2 linked regions of the Anolis sagrei genome follow. The main gene of each other region encodes a partner of the protein of the gene in region 2 in a complex. Links are inferred from orthologs where the notes say so. Each region holds a gene or a part of one and is shown on either strand. Other genes may lie near its edges.

Region 1 (11,095 bases), on a different chromosome or scaffold from region 2:
AATTTCTTGAAGAGGCAGGCTTCTTATTTGGAGATGGTAGTGTCCTCGTTTGGCTCCCCTCTTTAAAGGCAAGCAAAGTGTCTGGGTATGAAATCTCCAATTGAGGATGACAGCTCATGGATTTTCCACTTGCTGGGGGATTCTGGAAGCTGCAATACAAAAAGTAACATTCCTAAGATCTCTTTTTTCTAAACCTTCCCTGAAATCTCATTTGTTTCATACTGGCTGAGCTCACATTTGTTTGCCATTTTTCCATCAGTTGGTAGAAAGGCTGGATAAAGTTTACAAAATAAATAAATGTATTAGTGCCTATTTGGGTGTGCACAGGGTTTTTCTCCTTTTGAAAAAAAGACATTTTTGCTTTAAAAGTAAAGCTTTAAAGACTGCTATTTTATCTATTCTGTAGCCTTTTTTAACTTCTTGTTTTTCAGTATTCTATTTTTTAAAAAATAAATGCTAACCATTTTGTTGACAAGGTATGCTTAGACTAAATCCAGGTAAGACACAAGTTTTACTGTGGGTGATTGTGTCCGATTGGTTACGAGGGGCCATTTTTACTACCACCCACCCAAGAAAGCACCTTTTGCCTGAAGAAGTGGTATTATTCATATATTCCTAAAGTGTTTTGTATAATATCAAGAGAAGCTTACCTGTCAGATGGTCTAAATCTCAAATACATAAAGTAAATATTAAGTACATAATTACCCAGGGAAAGCAATATCAATTTAAGATCAGAGCTGAGTTTTGGATATGTAAAGCAATGTTGCATAGAGAGAGAACAAACTTGTTCTCTTTTCCTTCAGAGGGCAAGATCAATTGAGACAGGTTTTGGTGAAATATTGCAAGAAAAATCTGTGTAGCCGAAGTTGTTTGCAACAAAACACCTCTCTTTGCTGGTGATGTTTCACTGGAAGCTGGAAGGCGATCTCTCTATGTGACTCTGCATTGCAGAGCTTGGACTGGGTTGGACTAAATACCATCCTGGATTGTTGTAGGTTTTTTGGGCTGTATGGCCATGTTCTAGAAGTATTCTCTCCTGACATTTCACCTGCATCTATTATTTATCCTCAGAGGTAGTGTTTATCTCTGACAGGCCCGTAGCCAGGATTTTGATTCGGGGGGGGGGGGGTGAGTTTGATTCGGGGGGGGGGGGCTGAGTTTGATTGAAAGAGGGTCTACCCTAGCAAACCTTTTGTACTGTTACCCCAATACCCCCATGCATATGGGATATATTGAGTATGGTGATCAGATCATGATATGAATAAACATAACAGTTTAAATAATGCACTAGTAAGGCCTTCTCGCGGACCACCATGAGAATTTGGGGCGGAGGGGGGGGGGCTGAAGCCCCTCAACCCTCCCCCCCCCCCAGCTACATGCCAGATCTCTGAGGATGCCTGCCATAGATGTTTTTATAGGTTTTAATGTATGTTGTTTATAATTCTGTTTAAATTGATATTGTAATTTTTACATTGTTTTAATTGGCACTGAATAGCTGCCTTTGTTCTTGAGTCACCTTCAGGTTTGAGAAAGGTGGGGTAGAAATATCATAAGATAAATAAATAAATAAATAAATAAATAAATAAAGAGATAATACTTCTAGAACATGGCCATACAGCCTGAAAAACCTACAACAACCCAGTGATTCCGGCCATGAAAGCCTTTGACAACACCATCTTAGATGTCTTCCGGCAGTTCAGTCTTCTTATTCTCTGATTCATATCATTTATTTGGGCAGAGAATCATTGCACTTTTCAGAAATGGATCACTGATGCATTCAGTGTGGTATTGTTCATGGGAGCTAGTATAGCATAGCGGTTTGAATGTTGGAATAGGACAGCTGGAGAACATGGAAACTCACTTGGTAGCCATGGGAAAATCCCACTCTCCCAGCCTCAAAGGAAGACAATGGCATCTTTAACGGAATAAATCTTGCCTTGGAGAGGTGAGAACTACCACATGTATTCTAGATCCTCGCCCTTCTTGGCTGATCAAACAGGTCAGAGGGGGATTAGCAGAGTGGGTGAAGGTGGTGGTCAATGCCTCCTTAAAAAAGGCAGAGTTCCAGTTTGCCTAAAGGCGGCAGTTATGAGACCTACATTTAAAAAACCATCCCTGAACCTCTCTCTAATGGACAATAGGCCTGGGTAACAACGCAAAAATTTGTTTCTAAAATCGATTTGTATTTGGGGGGTTTTTTTGTTTCGATATTTAAAATAATTACAAAATTTTCCTTTTAAAAAGTTCGATATTTACGAAATTTCGTAAATGGTAAAAAATTAACGAATCGATTTCCGAAACAATAATGAATCGATTCGTTAATGACGGACGCAACCGCGAAATACGCTAAAAAACCTCCAAAAACTTCTGAAGCTTCCCTCTCCCTCTGTTCTTGACTGTTGGTGTGATATTATAATTTTTTTTCACTAATTAAACCATAAAACTGGCCCAGACATGCGGAAATAATAACGAAACGACCTCAGAACAATAACGAAACGAATACAATAACGAAATACGAAGCATTTACAAAACGTGTTTAAAAATTTGTTTTTTTAATGATTGCTCCAGAATGGTTCGTTATCGTTTTGTAATTAAAAAATTAACGAATTATTAACGAATTACGAATTAACGAAACGAAACCGCCCAGGCCTAATGGACAACTATCGGACAGTGTCCAACCTCCCCTTTCTGAGCAAGGTTTATCTATTTGGATCCATTTCAATCTGGTTTCAGTCTTGATTATGGAAGAGAGACAGCTTTTGTCACCTTGGGGATGACCTATGCAGAGAACTAGACAGGGAGAGTGTGTCCCTGTTGGTTCTCCTGAATCTCTCAGTAGCTTTCAATACCATTGACCACAGTATCCTTCTGGGTTATCTCACAGTGATGGTACTGGGAGGCATTGTTTTACAGTGGCTTCGGTTCTTCCTGGGGCACCCTACCCAGAAGGTGGTGCTGGAGGACTCCTGTTCAAACCCCTGGCCATTGACCTGTGGGGTTCCTCAGGATTCCATTTCGTCCCCCATGCTGTTCAACATATACATGAAACCGCTGGGAGAAGTCATCTGGAGTTTTAGAGTTGGGTGCCACCTATATGCAGATTATGCAAGACAGAGGTGCTCCTGGTCAGTCAGAAGGGAATAAGGATACAGCCTGTGTTGGATGGGGTCACACTCCCCTTGAAGACATAGGTCCACAGTTTGGGGGTCCTCCTTGTCTCAGTGCTGAACCTGGAGGCCCAGACATTTGCACTGGCCAGGAGGGCCTTTTCACAATTAAAACTTGTGCTCCAACTGTGCCTGTTCCTTGAGAAACCAGATCTGGCCATGGTGGTACATGCCTTAGTTACATCCCATCTGGATTACTGTAATGCACTTTATGTGGGGCTGCCTTTGAAGAGTTCTCAGAAACTTCAACTGGTCGAAAGAGATGCAGCCAGGTTGCTAACTGAGGCTGGCTACAGGGAGCGGACAACCCCCCCCCCCCCCCCCAATTGCAGTAGCTCCACTGGCTGCCAGTGGACAGTTCAAAGTGCTGGTTATGATCTTTAAAGCCCTAAATGGTTGAGACCAAGACTATCTGGCTGACCGCATCCCCTTGTATGAACCTGCCCAAGCCCTGAGATGTTCAGGAGAGGCCCTTCATTCAGTCCCACCTCCATCTCAAGCTCAGTTGGTGGGAACAAAAGAGTGAGCCTTCCTTCTTTGCCCATTGACTCTGGAACTCCCTGGCAAGGGAAATCAGAATGGCCTCCTGTTCTTCCAATGTTCTTCCAAACCTTTTTATTCAAACAGGCATTTAAAGATGAAGATGTTTAAGATCTAGTCAGGAGATGCTATAATTTTTAACTTTGAACATGTTTGATGAATTTTAACTGAATTTTAAAATACTTTTTCTGTATCATTCTGTTTTAATATTTGTATATTGTATATTTTCAATTGGATACCAATGCTTTTATGTCAAGCTGTTTTGAGCCCCCTTTGGTGAGATAAAGCAGGGTATAAATATAATAATCATCGTCGTCGTCATCATCATCATCATCATCATCATCTAAGCCAAATTCCACAAGGAATACCATAATATAATGAACAGAAAATTAGGCTCCAAAGAGACAGGATGCAGAACAAATACTACCATCAGCTTGAATGACCGGTAGACAACAGAGGCAAACAAATGTTAAACTAGGTAAACAAGGCTGTAGTCAATAGTATATTAAACCTCATCCATGCAGATAAAATGCACTGAGTGATTTCTAATGTATTTTCTGGCTCCATTGGAATGAGAATGTATTTTAAAGGATAAAATTGTCCCACATGCACAGAATTGTTAGTGGGTGCAAAATAAATAGTATTTCAAAATAGCCAAAGAACCAGATATATATTTTACATAAGGTGTGTGCAGGGGCAGCTCAACCATTACGCAAAGTAAGCATTTGCAGTATAGTTGATTTTGCCCAGGGGCGCTCTTGAGACACTCTTGGGGGAAAATAGACCTTGACATATGCGAGTTGTAGTTACTGGGATGTACAGTTCACCTACAATCAAAGAGCATTCTGAACTCTACCAATGATGGAACTGAACCAAATATGGCACACAAAACTCCCACGACAAACAGAAAATATATATCAGTGATTGGTTTGGGGGGGGGGGTGTCAAAATACTGTTTGCTTACCATTGAAAATTACCTAGGGCCCCCTCTGGGTGTGTGTCAGAAGTGACACACACATTTTACATAAGGTTAAGTAGATCACAGACTTCCCTTTCTGATTTCATAGCACAGGAGAATTTGGAACCAGCATTACTTCAGTTTGAAAGTGAGCCTCTAAACTGCAGCAATGCACACAAGATTTTTCTGCACTCTCTCTTACAAACACCTATAAAACCTGCTACATCAGAGGCAAAAGTGGAATGGGGACATATACAGCCAGCCTACTGAATCCACAGATTCTGGCATCCACAGCTTGAAAATGTTTTCTTAAAAATCCATTTTTACCATTTTGCCATTTTACGACACAATTGTATATAGTAGGATTTGAGCATCCATAGATTTTAGGATCCATGGGTGGACCCTGGACCAAGCCCCAGCAGATTCTAAGAGCCCTTTGTAATACTTTTTACCCTCTCAATGCAGAGGCCCCAGTGGCACAATGTGTTAAACCCTTGTGCTGGCAAGACTGAAGACCAACAGATCAGAGGTTCAAATCCAAGGAGAGCTGGATGAGCTCACTGTCATCTCCAGTTCCCCATGCAAGGACATGAGAGAAGGCTCCCACAAGAATAATAAAACATCAAAAACATCCAGGAGTCCACTGGGCAATGTTGTTGCAGATGGTCAATTCTCTCACACCAGAAATGACTTGCAGTTTCTCAAGTCACTTCTGACATAAAAAAACCCTTAATAAAAACAAAACAAAAGACAAGGACATTTTCCCCTGTGTCTCTATAAAGAAATCCTGCTGCAATAAAGCAGCAAAATAATAGTCCATTTTAATTCCTCCCCTTGATTTGATAAAACCAGCATCCCTTCCACCTTAAAGTTCACTGTTGTTTATGTTGTGTTTTATGTTATGTTTTATGTTGCTGTACAAGATGCATTTAGCTTTTAATTTGGAGTAAGGCTGTATTTGCTTCAACTTATTGCTTGCTGAATGTGGAAAGGTCCTCGCTGGCTGGGAACAGGAAAAAGAAAAGTAAAAAACAGTTAGTGCTTATCTAAAAACTGGAGCCCCTCCCCTCCTCATATGAGTTGGAGAGGCCAAACGGAATGACACATGGGCTGTTTCCTTTTCCAGTGGTAAATGGTCAAGAACCAGAGAAGAGACATCCGAACAAGAGCGGCTTTCTCCTGGTTTCTCCCCAGCCCTTCCAGCTGTTCTGCTTCACCCAACTTTGGACTGCGGCTAGGAAAGCAAGACTGTACAAAAAGGGAGGGGGGCACTTTTCTGAATGCATAAAGAATGAATTCCTATAACAGTTCAACATCTGCTCCGCGTGAGTACTCATTATCAATTCCCCCTCCCACGGTAGTACTGTAACGGCAACTGTACAACCCTTAAGGTTAATGTTAATTTGTTTAAAAGAACTATTTTAAAAGAAACTTTGTATGCAGAGATCTCCTTTCTAAAGGCTGTTCTTCAAACTTTGCTTCCTTTCTTTCCTACATTTAGCAGTGTGGGAGGGTTTAAGCAAAAAGAATGAAAGCATGTGTGTAGAAGTTAAAGCAAGGATCCAAAGACAACAGTCATTTTCATCGATTTTAACTCTAGGTAAAAAAGTTTTGAATCTGTTACAGAGAAAATGTAGCTGAAACTAGAATGAATTAATTGCATTTCTTTTGTTTATTCATTTTTTACTGACTTTCAGATAACTGTTTGCTAGTTTTGCCTCTTACACACACTCTCTGCTTCTCTCATGGGACATTTTACTACTTCACTCATATACAGACAGGGAACTATCTCTGTGTAACATGAGAACCAAGCCGTAAACTGTCAGCCTATATTTAGCCACAATGCATTTTTGTTTTCACAACCTTTGCAAAGCAGGCCTATGAGAATGGAATGGGGAGGGAGCATATTTCCTGTTTCCGTAGTTGCATATTTTTCAGTGAAAAGTTATACTATGATAGATGTTAGAGTGGGGAGAACTAGGATAGGTGAATATGAAAAAGAAGCAACAAACTTTCTACTGTAAAGTTTATGAATTCTTTGAGAACTGAGAAGTTAGTATAAGTTTCCAACAGTGTTACCAAAGTGGATTCCAAGCTAGAGATCATATTGTGAATATGGGAAAGCCTGAAATTTGGTGAGAACACATTTGGTAATATTACAACAGAATTAATAATGGCACAGTCATATTTATCATGTGTTCATTTAGCATGGTGCAATAAATATATAGCTGCATTTTCAAACCTTCCTAAGAAAAAATGCCCCAAGGGCCTTACAATCTAAAATGAACAGGGAGGAAAACAAGCAGAAAAGGAAGTACAGTAAGTCAGAAATGTAGCAAAGGATAAATTGAGCATTGCTCATTCACTGTGTCATGGATCTTGTACAAAGTGGACAGCTGTTCCATTAACCAACAGCCTTTGTTCCAAATGTTTGACATAAAAGAGTTCTTAGAAAATTGGAGAAATCAGTTCTTAGATAATTGGTAAATTTTGAGAACAGGTTTTCTGGGCACAAATGAGGAGAAAGAGGCAAACACGTGTGTCTTTCTTCTCCTCATTTTATTTTAAGCACACTTCCAATCCAAATAGTTACATGGTAGGCTGCTGAAAACATAAGGTATACATAAATGGCCTATACTGTGTAATGATGAGCAGTTTCAAAAGAACTCCACATAAAAGTATATAATGTTTCTAATTTTGCTTGGAAAGATTTTTAAAATGTACTGTAATTACTTTTACAAAAATGCAGAAACCAAAATAATAATTTCTCATTTCCCCTTCCCTCTTCCTCTGACTGTTTTAATTATTGTAGCCCCATCTTATTTGCCATGTCTGCATTTGACTAAGGCTCCTTCTACACCACCCTATATTCCAGAATCTGATCCCAGATCATCTGATTTAAACTGGATTATACGAGTCTCTACTGCCAGACATTCTGGGATAAGAAGATAATATGGCAGTGGTTCTCAACCTGTGGGTCCCCAAGTGTTTTGGCCCTCAACTCCCAGAAATCCTAACAACTGGTAAACTGGCTGGGATTTCTGGGAGTTGTAGGCCAAAACACCTGGGGATCCACAGGTTGAGAGCCACTGTAATATGGGATATAGGGGCCTAAGAGCATAGAAAACACTTTAATATGCCACTGACAGCCTTTGTACAGATTAGCCATGTATGTATAAGCAAATGGTGCTATATGTGTGATGGCTTGGATCTTACAAGCAGAACTTTGAACAGTCCCTTCTTCATTGGCTTTTGTGTCTTTTTATGGACTACAGCTTCTAGAACCTGGAATGCCCACTGGTTGGGAGACTCTGGGCCTTGCAATAAATCTCCTTTAAATTACTGAGTGGAAGTGTGCAGAACCTGTGCATGCAGGTCAAAGGCACACCTAAATGTGCACAATAGGAGAGTCACCCTCAAAGCACCACATTTTCAGGAGGCACATCTAGGTGCTAAGACAGAGAAAAGGGAAATGTTTTTGAACTTCATCCTATGTTCTTAGGGTCTATGGAAATGAAATTAGATTCTAGTGGCTTTCTGTGTCCGTTGCATAGCAAAAAGATGGAATGTCCAATCTGAATCAAAGTTTTTTTTAAATTCATAATGTAGAGTAAGTCTTATTGTGCGCCTTCAAGTAATTTCCAACTTCTGTTGATTCTAAGGTGATCCTATTGTGCAGTTTTCAGAAGTTGAGAGTGTGTGATTTACCCAGGGACACCCAATGGATTTCTATGTCAGAATGAGGATTAGAACCATTGTCTCCAGAGTTGTAGTACAAGACTTAAAACACAATGGCACACTGCATTATCCATATGCTTACCACTTAGACCTTGGACTTTTCAAACATGTCAGTGGGAGAAAGAAACATTGGCCTACCACAGGATGGGCACAGCACAGTTGCAATATCTCATGTAGGCCACACAATAAGATATTATTGCTGCAGCTCTTAACCAGCCTGCATGAGTATTTTCTAAACAAGGCAGGTGTCTTGTCACTACGGAAAGTCTCAGAATCAGCAAAACATCTTTTAAACAGATTGAAGTGGCAGCAGCACCAGCATTATCCGTCCTTTCTGCCAATCTGACACTAAAGTTTGCTTACAATAATTTTAAGAAAACCTAAACAACATACATATTATTTGGGGTCAGTTTAATGACCTCAAAAATCATTAAATTGACTCCAAATTAAAATCAGTTAAAATATAGCTATTAAAAATAGCAAATAGACAAGACAGTAGAATTGTTTAATGTCATTTCCCTCACACAATATATTTATTATATTTATTTATAATAAATTGATAGCTGTTATCTTTGTTTACAGTAAATTGATAATACTTGCACAATGGCCCATTGCTCTAGAGCAGTAAAATTATTATATTTATTTCTAATGGGCTGCACTCTACTATTTAACAAATGACTCATTTTTCAAATTCAGTAGTAGATATATGTTACCCAAAGAGAAAAAGGAAGGATTTGTGGAATGATTGATTTGCAACCAGGAACTCAACAGACCCTGCTAATGAAACATCTGCCATATCAAGCCAACAGACAGCAAAATAGAAATCCTTCTTAATGAAGTTACTCTAAGAAACCTCAGTAATTACTGTCATTGAATATATACTCAGTGGAGACCACATGTCCATTGGGTCAGCTGCCTGTTTTTTGGATGAAGGTACGTGGGCTTTCAGAAAAGCCAGACTGCGTTGAGTATTGTAATCCCTACAGCAGCCAAATTTTCACATAATTTGTTCTCCAACATATGTTTCACCACAGGGATCCAGTGAATTAAAATGAACAATTCTGCAGTAAAATGTTGTCAGTTTAATATTTCTGTGCAGCCTTAACGTTGTAATGCAATTTCCACTGCTGCCACCTCTCTTTCCTCACTCTCATTTCTGGAGTGTCTGATTCCCCAGTAAACTCTGTTTCAGTTTGTTATCAGCAGCTGCCTCCTGAAGACTTTTTGGTCGTTAATGTGGAGTGTCTTGAGAGTGATAATGCATGATGTCATAAACTACTAATGATGAATCCCATATTTAACATATATTTGGTCCGAGTTAATTTATTTTGGCTCTATTAAAAGGTGTCTACCTGGAAAGCCCTCAAACGGTAGCAGTGTAGCCTTGGATGAGATCACACACTATGTACCTTCTCTTTCAAACCTCAGAGAGGGAAGTAGTGAGCTCTACTGAGGAATTAGACATATTTATTTCTTTGACTTTTTGTTTCTCTAATATCTACATCTGTTTCTTAAAAACAGAAACAACCCATTTTTTCTATAAATCATAGAATCATAATTAGAATACATTACAAATACCATTGAATCCAACCTCTGCCATGCAGGAATACACAATCACAGTGCTCCCAACAGATGGCTGTCTAGATTCTGTTTAAAATCTCCAAAGAAGGAGACATTCCAAAGTAGCCTATTTCACTATTGCACACACTTACTATCAGGAAGTTCTCCCTAAAGTTTAGAACTTCTCTTTTCTTATAATTTGAATCCAGCCAAGCAGGCATGTAGCCGGGGGGGGGGGGGGGGGGGGGGGGGGGGGGCTTGAGGGGCTTCAGCCCCCCCCCCCCCCCCCGCCGAAATTCTCATGGTGGTTTGCAAAAAGGCCTTACTGGTGCATTATTTAAACTGTTATGTTTATTCATATCATGATCTGATCACCATACTCAATATATCCCATATGCATGGGGGTATTGGGGTAACAGTACAAAAGGTTTGCTAGGCTAGACCCTCTTTCACTCAGACTCAGCCCCCCCCCCCCAAAACTCAACCCCGCGAAACACCCCTGAAAAATCTTTAGCCCCCCCCCCCCCAAAACGAAATCCTGGCTACGGGCCTGCAGCCAATCCTCAAAAATCAGGTCATTGTAAATTATCTGATGACTGTAATGAGTATTGTTCAAAATGTAAATCCTTCTCAGCTCCAGTATCAACCTAACTATAGTATTTCAAAAAAAAAAAAAAAAAAGCAAAACAAAAAACCCATGCCTGCATACTATTTACATATGCTATAGATAGCAAAATACAAAGCTGGATCATATTGAGTCAATCAATTGTTTTCTCTAAATTGTGGTTTTTTAAGATCTATATTCCTAGATATCAGTCCGTAACTCAGACCATTTTTGACTGCTGGTCATGATAACATAAGATGATAGAGACTCCAGTCCAATATAAAATGATTCTTGTTTTGAAAAACTAAACTCAATGGTGCTGCCTTTTCAAAATGTTAGCAATGCTCTAGGGCCCCAGACAGACTCCTTCCTATCATTTGGTTGGTAAAGCTCAGGTCAGTATAATTTACTTTTCTCATAGGTGTCAGCACCTATCATGTGACTGTATGGAAGTTATGCAGCCTTTATTTTGGGTCTCCTATCTGAAAGGGATGTACTATCGCAAGATTGCCTAGGATGTTCAGTTTT
Region 2 (10,880 bases):
TCATAAAGTTGTGTGTGTGCATTTTGCAGTATTAATTGTAAAAATATACAGAGCAATTAATTCCCACTGACTTTACAAAAGACCTGCCCTTGGTAGGAATGGAAAGCCTTTACTTTTACCTGTGTGTCTAATTGTTTCGAGACATTGAATGTTTGCTTAGTGTCTCTATATTTGCTGGAATGCACCCTGAGTCCCCTCAGGAAGATTGGGTGGAATACAAATAAAGTGTTGTTATTATTATGTTATTAAATGCCCAGAGTATAGATTAGCCCAGTTGCCTATATTCTGGATACTTCCTACGAGATGAGAGTTTAAATGTTATTAACTAATACTACACCAGTATAGATGCTATAATATTTTTAAAAAATTACTTTGGATGGGATAGCAATTAGTTGTCCATGACAGAAAGGATATTATTATTATTATTATTATTATTATTATTATTATTATTATTATTATTCCAGAGGTGTCTCATGAAATTATATTTCATTCTAATAACAGTATATACACTACACATGTAATAAATAATAATAATAATAATAATAATAATAATACTTTAATTTATATTCCACTCTATCTCCCCAAAGGGACTCAGGGCGGATTCCAAACATAAAAGGCAAACATTCAATGCCCGAATACAACAACAATACATCCATATTAACAAAATGTATACAACCCAACATATAAATATGAATTATAACTTAACTAAAATTAAATTTAAAAAAAACATAGCCTGTTTTAACAGACATAAGACAAAACACAAATACATACATATTGGTGTGTTGTTTTTTGTTTGCTTGTTTGTTTACAGTATTTTTATTCCTCCCTTCTTACCTCGAAGGGGACTCAGGGTGGATCACAGAACACATATACAACAAACATTCAATGCTGTTATACACAGACAGGACAGACAACAGTACAGATAGTGGTATATAGACATTTTTCATCTTTGGCATCCTAGAGGTTGTGCTCAGTTCCGGCCACAAGGGGGTGCTGTCACTCCATCCTCCATGTCGAAGAGCCTTGTTCACAGACTTCCTCCTTTTTTTATCGCTGGCATTTTCCTTATGGTGTCATTAAAATACCTCTCCACTTAAGCAGTACCTATTTATCTACTCACAGTTGTTTTCGATCTGCTAGGTGGGGAGTGAGCTGGGCTGAAGGTTAGGCGCTCACCCCTGACCTGGACTTTGAACTGCCAACCTTTTCATAGAATCATAGAGTTGGAAGAGACCTCGTGGGCCATCCAGTCCAACCCCCTGCCAAGAAGCAGGAAAATCGCATTCAAAGAACCCCTGACAGATGGCCATCCAGCCTCTGTTTAAAAGCTTCCAAAGAAGGAGCTTCCACCATACTCTTGGGAAGAGAGTTTCACTGCTGAATGGCTCTCACAGTCAGGAATCTCTTCCTAATGTTCAGATGGAATCTCATTTCTTGTAGTTTGAAGCCATTGTTCTGTGTCCTAGTCTTCAGGGCAGCAGAAAACAAGCTTGCTCCCTTCTCTCTATGACTTCTTTTCACATATGTATACATGGCTATCATATCTCCTTTCAGCCTTCTCTTCTTCAGGCTAAACATGCCCACCTCTTTAAGCCGCTCCTCATAGGGCTTGTTCTCTTTTAATTGGCAAGATTTATGGCAGCTGGTGGTTAACCTGCTGTGCCAAAGCCTGGCACTGTTGTTGTTGTTATTCCAAGTGGTCTCATGAAATTGTATTGTATTATAATGGCAATATATACACTATACATGCACATACATACATATTGGTGTTGTTGTTGTTGTTGTTCCCAGTGGTCTCATGAGATTCTATTCCATTCTGGGTCCTTAGTAACTATAAGTGAGGCATCAATTCAACAGATGCAACCCATTTTAACACTGCAACATAAATGCTGGGAAAATGTACACAGACAAGCTGGCAACCTTAACAGGATTTTATTGATTTAGGGGTCTGTGTCTCCTTTCTCTTTTTACTTTCCAGAATTCTCATAGATTGAAGAGGATCTTCCAGAAGTGATCAGCGTCTTTTGATTACCAGACCCAGGAATCTCTCCGTTGAGAAGCCCCACTTTGCGAAGAAAGTCTTGGGGAGCTTGGAAAAGTTACTTTTTAGGACTATAATTTCTTTAGCCAGCAAGGACACTGCTCGGCTGACTAGGGTTGTTTTGCTTCTCTAAATGCAATTTTTCAGAAGGAGGCATATTACCCTTTCTGTTATTGCAAAACAGTTGCAATAACAGAAGTTCTGTCACTGTCCGTCACTTTGCGACAAACAATGTTGTTTAAGATGGAGCAATTCTGGTGTGGACAAGAGTGAGTATCTGTGTTTCAAAGATAGAGATATTTGAACAGGCCAGTAAAATAAAAATGTTTACATTTACATTACTTGATGTAATCAATAAAATGTCTGCTGTTTTGACTCTCTGTCATTTGTTGAAATGCTTTAGAGCAACTCCAGATGGATTGAAATGTTCCAGATTTTGGGTTGCCGTGAGTTTTCCAGGCTGCATGGCGATGTTCCAGAAGCATTCTCTCCTGACGTTTCGCCCACATCTATGGAAAGCATCCTCAGAGGTTGAGGGATCTGTTGGAAACTAGGCAATAATAATAATAATAATAATAATAATACTTTATTTGTACCCCGCTACCATCTCCCCAAGGGACTCGGTGCGGTTTATATATCTGTGTAATGTCCAGGGTGGGAGAAAGAACTCTTGTGCATTTGAGAAAAGTGCAAATGTTGCAATTGGTCACCTTGATTAGAATTGAATAGCCTTGCAGCTTCAAAGTCTTGCTGGTTGCTGCCTAGGGGAATCCTTTGTTAGGAGGTGTTAGCTGGTCCTAGGGTCAGCTAACTCCTCCCAACAAAGGAGTTCCCCAGGCAGCAAAAACCAGGCTTTGAAGCTGCAAGGCCATTCAATTCTAATTAAGGTAGCCAATTGGAACATTCATACTTGCCTCCAACAGACAAGAGTTCTTTCTCCCACCCTAGACATTCCACTGATATATCAACCCCACTTGCCTAGTTTCCAACAGACCTCACAACCTCTGAGGATGCCTGCCACAGATGTGGGCAAAACGTCAGGAGAAAATACTACTGGAACATGGCCATACAGCCCAAAAAATGCTCAGCAACTCCAGCAATGAAAGCCTTCAAAAACACATTGTTCCAGTTTTTGTTCCTGTTCTTTCCAATTTTCTTCTGGGGTCCATTCACATTGAATAATTTCTATGAGCTGCTGGCACACTAGTAATTATCCATGCTATTTTAAGATATAACAAACCATTTTCACAGCCAAGACCGTTTAAAACCTATTAGAAGACAGAATACAAAAGATCTGTATTTCAAAGCTGATCACAGGGTGTATCTGCACTGCAGAATTAATACAGTTTGACACTATTTGAACTGCGACGTCTCAGGTGCTGTTTCCACTGCCATACAATGCAGATGAACAACACTGAACTGCATTACATAGTAGCATAGATTCATATAAGCCAACTTGATGCAATTAATCTGCATTCTGAAACTGTATTATATGGCAGTGTAGATAGGAGCCTCAATGTATTGGAATCCTGGGAATTTTGTTTATAGCACTGAGCCATGGCACTGAAAGTGGTCTCAAACTGCACTAATTCTATAGTGTAGATCAATGTTCCTCAATCTAGAAGTCAGGACCCCGTGGGGGGTGTTGTGAGAGGGGTGTCAGAGGGGTTGCCAAAGACCATCAGAAAACGCTGTTGGTCATGGGGTTTCTGTGTGGGAAGTTTGGCCCAATTCTATCATTGGTGGGGTTCAGAATGCTCTTTGATTGTACGTGAACTACAAATCCCAGAAACTACAACTCCAAAATGTCAAGGTCTATTTCCCCCAAGTTCTACCACTGTTCACATTTGGGCAAATTGAGTATTCATGCCAAATTTCATCCAGATCCATCATTGTTTGAGTCCACAGTACTTTCTGAATGTAAATGAACTACAACACCCAAAACCCAAGGTCAATTCCCACCAAACCCTTCCATTATTTTCTGTTGGTCATGGGAGTTCTGTGTGCCAAGTTTGGTTCAATTCCATCATTGATGGAGTACAGAATGCTCTCTGATTGTAGGTAAACTACAAATCCCAGCAACCACAACCAGGGGTGGCTCGTCCATTACGCGAAATAAGCGGTCGCAGAACACTTTTTTTGCCAGGGGCGCAGAGGTGCCTCTGTAAATGCCCCTTGACCGCCGCTTGAGGAGCAGCTCACAACAGCCCTAGAAGTCCGGGGGGAGCCTCGGCTTTCTTGCCTCACCGCTGGGCGATCCTCTTCCCAAAGGGGCCGGGCCCTTGAGCCTCGCCTAGCCCCTCTCCTTCCTGCTCCACCCAGCCACAGGGTGCGCGAGCAGAGCCGGCACTCAATCGTTTTCCGCGTTCGATCCCTTCCCCATGATTGGCTCCCTTTCACGATCCCCCGGCACTCCACCCGCCTCCTCTCCTCTCCCCAATCTGTGGGTGGGCCAAGGGGTGGAGCCGCTGCGCCTGGCCCGCTTCAGGTCCGGCCGGCATGTCTGAAGACCCCAGCGTGCGCACCAAAAGTCGCCTCTTCTCCTGACTTTCTCTTCAGCCATTGGGACCGAGAGAGAGAGAGAGAGAGAGCCCCTCCGGCTGGAGGTATCTCCCACCTCCGCTCCCTCCTTTGTTTTTGCACCTACCTACAGGAAAGGTGGGCATCTCCACCTCTCTCTCTCTCTCTCTCTCTCTCTTGGTCCCACTGGCTGAGGAGAAAGTCAGGAGAAGAGGTGACTTTTGGTGCACACGCTGGGGTCTTCAGGCACGCCTCCAGACCCAAAGCGGGCCAGGCAAGGGAGCAAGTGCAGCAAGTGCAGTTACTGGGATGTATAGTTCACCTACAATCAAAGAGCATTGTGAACTCCACCAATGATGGAATTGAACCAAATATGGCACACAGAACTCCCACAACGAACAGAAAATATATATCAGTGATTGATTTGAGGGGGGAGGGGGTGCCAAAATACTGTTTGCTTACCATTGAAAATTATCTAGGGCCGCCTCTGATGGCAGGAACACTTTTCCTCTGGGTGGGTCTTCATCTTTACTCTCGTGGCTTGTTCTCGGTTGTCTTGCAGCTCTTCTGATGTCTGAGGTGGAGTCTCCATTGGCCTGGAGAGCCCAGTTGAGGTGGTTCAGTTCATCTTGGAGGAGGTGGGGTTCGCAGATTCTTTTTGCACGGTCTGCCAAGGCTTTAATGGTGCTTCTTTTTTGACTTGGGTGATGGTTGGAGTTTTTATGTAGATATCTATCTGTGTGTGTGGGTTTTCTGTAAACGGTGTGACCCAACTGTTGATCTGGTTTGCCCCTTTTTTCCCAGTTTCCAGCAGACCTCACTACCTCTGAGGATGCTTGCCATATAGATGCAGGCGAAACGTCAGGAGAAATGCCTCTAGAACATGGCCATATAGCCCGAAAAAACCCACAAGAACTGAATAATAATAACTACAACCCCCAAATGAGAAAATCAATCCTCCACAACCCCACCAGTATTCAGATTTGGGCATATTTTGTGCCAAATTTGGTCCAGTGAATGTATATACAGGCACGCCTGGCGGGGATGAGGGATAGGGCCTTCTCGGTGGTGGCCCCCCGGCTGTGGAACGCCCTCCCTGTAGACATCAGACAGGCGCCCTCCCTTATGACATTCCGCAAAAGACTAAAGACATGGTTATTTGAGAGGGCGTTCGACTAAGTGCTACAATTGGCAATGATGACTGGAACGGAATATGGATAACGAGATTGGTTATGATTCTACGATGAGACGGCGCGGATGATTTAGTATAATCGTATTATTGATTGTTATGTTGATATTATTGTTGTGATATTCCCTTATTGTAAACTGTTTTTATATGTTGTACACCGCCGTGAGTCGCCCTAGGGCTGAGAACGGCGGTCAACAAATGCAGTAAATAAATAAATAAATAAATAAATATACATCCTGCAGATCAGATATTTACATGACGATTCATAACAGGAGCAAAATGACAATTGTGAAGTAGCAACGAAAATAATGTTGTGGTTGGGGGTCACCACAACAGGAGGAGCTGTATTCAGGATGCCAGAGGATAGAGTTCAGGCGGGGTCAACCTGCGTTCACTGCAGAGGGTGTAGATGCAGCCGTGGGCGGCAGGGGGCGCTGCCGCGTTGCGGGCAAAGGCAGCGGCGCGGCGGGGCTCGGCCGGGGTCTCCTCCTCCTCCTCCTCCTCCTTCTCCTCCTGCGTTGCCTTTGCGCCAAACGGAGGCACCGGGAGGGGCGCTTCCCGGGCTGCCTCCTCCCCGAGAGCCGCCTCCAACCCGCCTCCCTGCCTGCCTTCTTCCCCGGAGCCCAGCCCCGCCGCAGCCCTTTCCGCCTCGGGACGCCCCAGGGATCGGGGCCAGGAGAAGAAGAGAGCAGGGCTATCCCCATCCATCCCTCCATCCATCCATCCCTCCATTGATCCACCGGGCAGCATGACGCTCAAAGGCGGGCAGGCAGGCGACGGCGCGAGCCGCATGAGGACAGTCCTCTCGGACCTCTACCTGGAGCACCTGCTGCAGAACAGGCCCAAGGCCGAGGCGAGTTGGGATGGGGTGGTATGGAGAAGGGGGGGGGGGTCAAACTGGAGGGAGGAGGGGGTGCACGGTGTGTGTGTATATGTGTCCCCACTTTCGCCTTTTCCTGTTTGGGGCTTCCCATGGGGAAAAAAATGCAAATGCATGCTAATTTATGCTAATAATGCAAACATATGCAAATGCATGCTAATGCCCGTATATAAAAACACACCACTTTTGCATCTCCCTCTATACAAATAGGCCCAAATAATGCAAAATAATAGGTTCTTGTAGGTTTTTTTCAGGCTATAGGGCCATGTTCTAGAGGCATTTCTCCTAACACCTCTCAACAGAACATTTTCCCAGGCTCAGCCAAGCCTGCATGCTAATACCCGTATATAAAAACACACCACTTTTGCATCTCCCTCTATACAAATAGGCCCAAATAATGCAAAATAATAGGTTCTTATAGGTTTTTTTCAGGCTATAGGGCCATGTTCTAGAGGCATTTCTCCTAACACCTCTCAAGAGAACATTTTCCCAGGCTCAGCCAAGCCTGCATGCTAATACCCGTATATAAAAACACACCACTTTTGCATCTCCCTCTATACAAATAGGCCCAAATAATGCAAAATAATGGGTTCTTGTAGGTTTTTTTCAGGCTATAGGGCCATGTTCTAGAGGCATTTCTCCTAACACCTCTCAACAGAACATTTTCCCAGGCTCAGCCAAGCCTGCATGCTAATACCCGTATATAAAAACACACCACTTTTGCATCTCCCTCTATACAAATAGGCCCAAATAATGCAAAATAATAGGTTCTTGTAGGTTTTTTTCGGGCTATAGGGCCATGTTCTAGAGGCATTTCTCCTAACACCTCTCAACAGAACATTTTCCCAGGCTCAGCCAAGCCTGCATGCTAATACCCGTATATAAAAACACACCACTTTTGCATCTCCCTCTATACAAATAGGCCCAAATAATGCAAAATAATAGGTTCTTGTAGGTTTTTTTCGGGCTATAGGGCGATGTTCTAGAGGCATTTCTCCTAACACCTCTCAACAGAACATTTTCCCAGGCTCAGCCAAGCCTTCAAATGCTAATGAAGGTGATCAGCTGAAACATTCACACCTAGCTTCAGCAGAGAGCTCTTTGCCCCACCCCAGTCATTCCACAGATATATAAACCCATTTTCCTATTTCCAACAGAACTCACTGCCTCTGAGGATGTTTGCCATAGATGCAGGCGAAACGTCAGGAGAGAATGCCTCTAGAACATGGCCCTATAGCCCGAAAAAACCTACAAGAACCTAGTGATTCCAGCCATGAAAGCCTTCGACAATACAATGCAAAATAATCATTTATACTAATACTAATATATGCACATACTATATGTGCCCATATATACGTAATATGCCACTTTATGCAATTGTCCATCTCTAGATAAATAGCCCCCCCCCCCCCCCAGTGGCGCAGTGGGTTAAAGCACTGAGCTGCTGAGCTTGTTGATCGAAAGGTCACAGGTTCGATTCCGGGGAGTGGCGTGAGCTTCCGCTGTCAGCCCTAGCTTCTGCCAACCTAGCAGTTCGAAAACATGCAAATGTGAGTAGATCAGTAGGTACCGCTCCGGCGGGAAGGTAACGGCGCTCCATGCAGTCATGCCGGCCACATGACCTTGGAGGTGTCTATGGACAACGCTGGCTCTTCGGCTTAGAAATGGAGATGAGCACCACACCCCAGAGTCAGACATGACGGGACTTAGTGTCAGAGGACTACCTTTACTTTTACCTTAGATAAATAGGCCTATTTACGTAAAAATGTCTTATTTATGCAAATGTGCTAATTCATGCAAATAATGCTAATATATGCAAATCACTCTCTCTCTCTCTCTCTCTATATATATATATATATATGCCCATTTATGGAAACTTGCCACTTTCTGCAATTGTGTCCATCTATACAAATAGATCCATGAGGTCAGAAAGAATCGGAGACGACTGAACGAATGAACAACATACAAATAAGCCCACTTATGCAAAATACCCATTTATGCAAATGTATTTATGCAAATAATAGTAATATACAGGAGCCCCCCGGTGGCGCAGTGGGTTAAACCCCTGTGCCAGCAGGACTGAAGACCGACAGGTCGCAGGTTCGAATCCGGGGAGAGGTGGATGAGCTCCCTCTATCAGCTCCAGCTCCTCATGCGGGGACATGAGAAAAGCCTCCCACAAGGATGGTAACACATCAAAACATCCGGGCGTCCCCTGGGAAATGGCCAATTCTCTCACACCAGAAGCAACTTTCAGTTTCTCAAGTCGCAACTTGAGAAACTGCAAGAAGCAACTTGCAGTTTCTCAATATGCAAATGCATGCTAATATATGCAAAAAATACTATATGTGCCCATATATATGAAAACATGCCACATTATGCAATTTTGTCCATCTATATACATAGGCCGGTTTATGTAAACTACCAATTTATGCAATATATGTCTTATTTCTGCAAATATTCCTAATATATGCAAATACTTAATATATACAAGTACATGCTATATATGCCCACATATATATATAAACATGCCACTTTATGCAATTATGTCCTTCGATACAAATATGCCCATTTTTGCAAATATGCCCACTTATGCGAAATCCTTATTCATACAAATATGTCTTATTTATGCAAGTATTACGAATATATGCAAATACTAATACATACAAGTGCATGCTATATATGCCCATATATATATATATACTTATACAAATACCACTTTATGCAATTATGTCCATCTATACAAATATGCCCATTTTTGCAAATATGCCCCCTTATGCGAAATCCTTATTTATGCAAATATGCTTTATTTATGCAAATGTACTCATACATGCCAATCATGCTGCATGCCTTTAGCTCTTTCTCACAGAACCTGGTTGAGGGAGGCAGGGAAATAGGGAATCTCATCTGAATGAATGAATGAATGAAAGAATGGAGTGTCATCCTGGGAGTTGTAGTTTGACCAAGTCTGTCTCCTTCTCTGCCTCGGCCCACTACAACTCTCAGGATTGTGTAGTACCGAGACATAGATGTGGGTTGTCAAACGGTGTCCGTGCTACATGCGAGATGCACTCTTCTCAATGTGATGCTTTGGGTTACAAGCATGCTCACTTGCTCTCCATTTTTAGGAGGACTGAATGCATCTACAGAAGGCTCAGGCAAAATTAGGTCCTCCGGGTGTTTTGGACTCCAACTCCCACCATTCCTAACAGCCTCAGGCCCCTTCCTTTCCCCCCTCAGCCGCTTAAGCGGCTGAGGGGGGAAAGGAAAGGGCCTGAGGCTGTTAGGAATGGTGGGAGTTGGAGTCCAAAACACCCGGAGGACCTAATTTTGCCCATGCCTGATCTACACTTACTACTTGAATGCTTGGGAGCCAGGATAGTTATAGTTTGAGACCCTGTAGTGGATCCTAGGCATGAAAGAGATGTGTTCCAACAACCGTAATGTGTCTGCTTGGATTGTTATCCTTGGAGGGAGCTTTTGGTGCTTTGCTGCTGCGGAAGGAGCCGGCTCTTGTTTGTGCCGCAAAGCTGGTTCGAACTGGAAGTGGCTGTCGCTTGGGCTGCGGAGCCGAACCAATGGGAGCACGAGAAGCCTCCTTGCGCAAGGCAGGCCACATTCATCTCTGTCGGTATCGAGTGCAGATTTTCACCCTCGTTTCGGTTGAACCTGGGACATAACTCTCCCCAGGCAGCCGCTTTTCCCTGAAGCCACCGTCTCTGCAAAACATCACATTATCTAAAAATCACAGCAGTGTGCGCGGGAGAGATACAATTCTAACTTCATTAGGATCCCAGTGAAAAGTGGGACAAAGTTACTTTTCAAAAGCAGGGCAACACAATAGAAATAATGCTACATTATTGGTGCAATGGATAACATTTAGTTCCCAACCTTCCTAATGCCGCGACCCCTTAAGACAGTTCCTCGTGTTGTGGTGACCCCCAAATATAAAATTATTTTTGTTGCTACTTCGTAACTGTAATTTTGCTCCTGTTATGAATTGCAATGTAAATATCTGATATGCAGAATGGATTTTCATTCACTGGGCCAAATTTGACACAAATACCCGATATGCCCAAATTTGAATACTGGTGGGGTTGGGGTAAGATTGATTTTCTTATTTGGGAGTTGTAGTTGCTGGGATTCAGCTACAATCGAAGAGCATTCTGAACCCCACCAACGATGGAATTGAGCCAAACTTCTCACACAGAACTCATTTGGGAGTTGTAGTTGCTGGAATTTATAGTTCA

Evidence for each region. The genes of interacting proteins can lie anywhere in the genome.
Region 1: the proteins of MPP1 (region 2) and GYPC are in contact, whole or in part, in an NMR structure (PDB 2EJY), measured with the Homo sapiens proteins. The link is inferred for Anolis sagrei from reciprocal best matches to the Homo sapiens genes MPP1 and GYPC. Residues at the interface, in NP_002427.1 of Homo sapiens: Pro81, Met82, Gly83, Ile84, Leu86, Lys87, Leu88, Leu100, Val130, Gln134; in NP_002092.1 of Homo sapiens: Arg123, Lys124, Glu125, Tyr126, Ile128.

What each region holds. Positions count from the first base shown.
Region 1 is NC_090021.1:225,762,306-225,773,400, forward strand, and holds the start of GYPC (glycophorin-C), read left to right. Parts: upstream 1-5,746; 5' UTR 5,747-5,956; coding exon 5,957-5,990; intron 5,991-11,095. UniProt on the Homo sapiens protein: This protein is a minor sialoglycoprotein in human erythrocyte membranes. The blood group Gerbich antigens and receptors for Plasmodium falciparum merozoites are most likely located within the extracellular domain.
Region 2 is NC_090030.1:15,266,287-15,277,166, reverse strand, and holds the start of MPP1 (55 kDa erythrocyte membrane protein), read left to right. Parts: upstream 1-6,261; 5' UTR 6,262-6,498; coding exon 6,499-6,603; coding exon of another isoform or gene 6,604-6,607; intron 6,608-10,880. UniProt on the Homo sapiens protein: Essential regulator of neutrophil polarity. Regulates neutrophil polarization by regulating AKT1 phosphorylation through a mechanism that is independent of PIK3CG activity.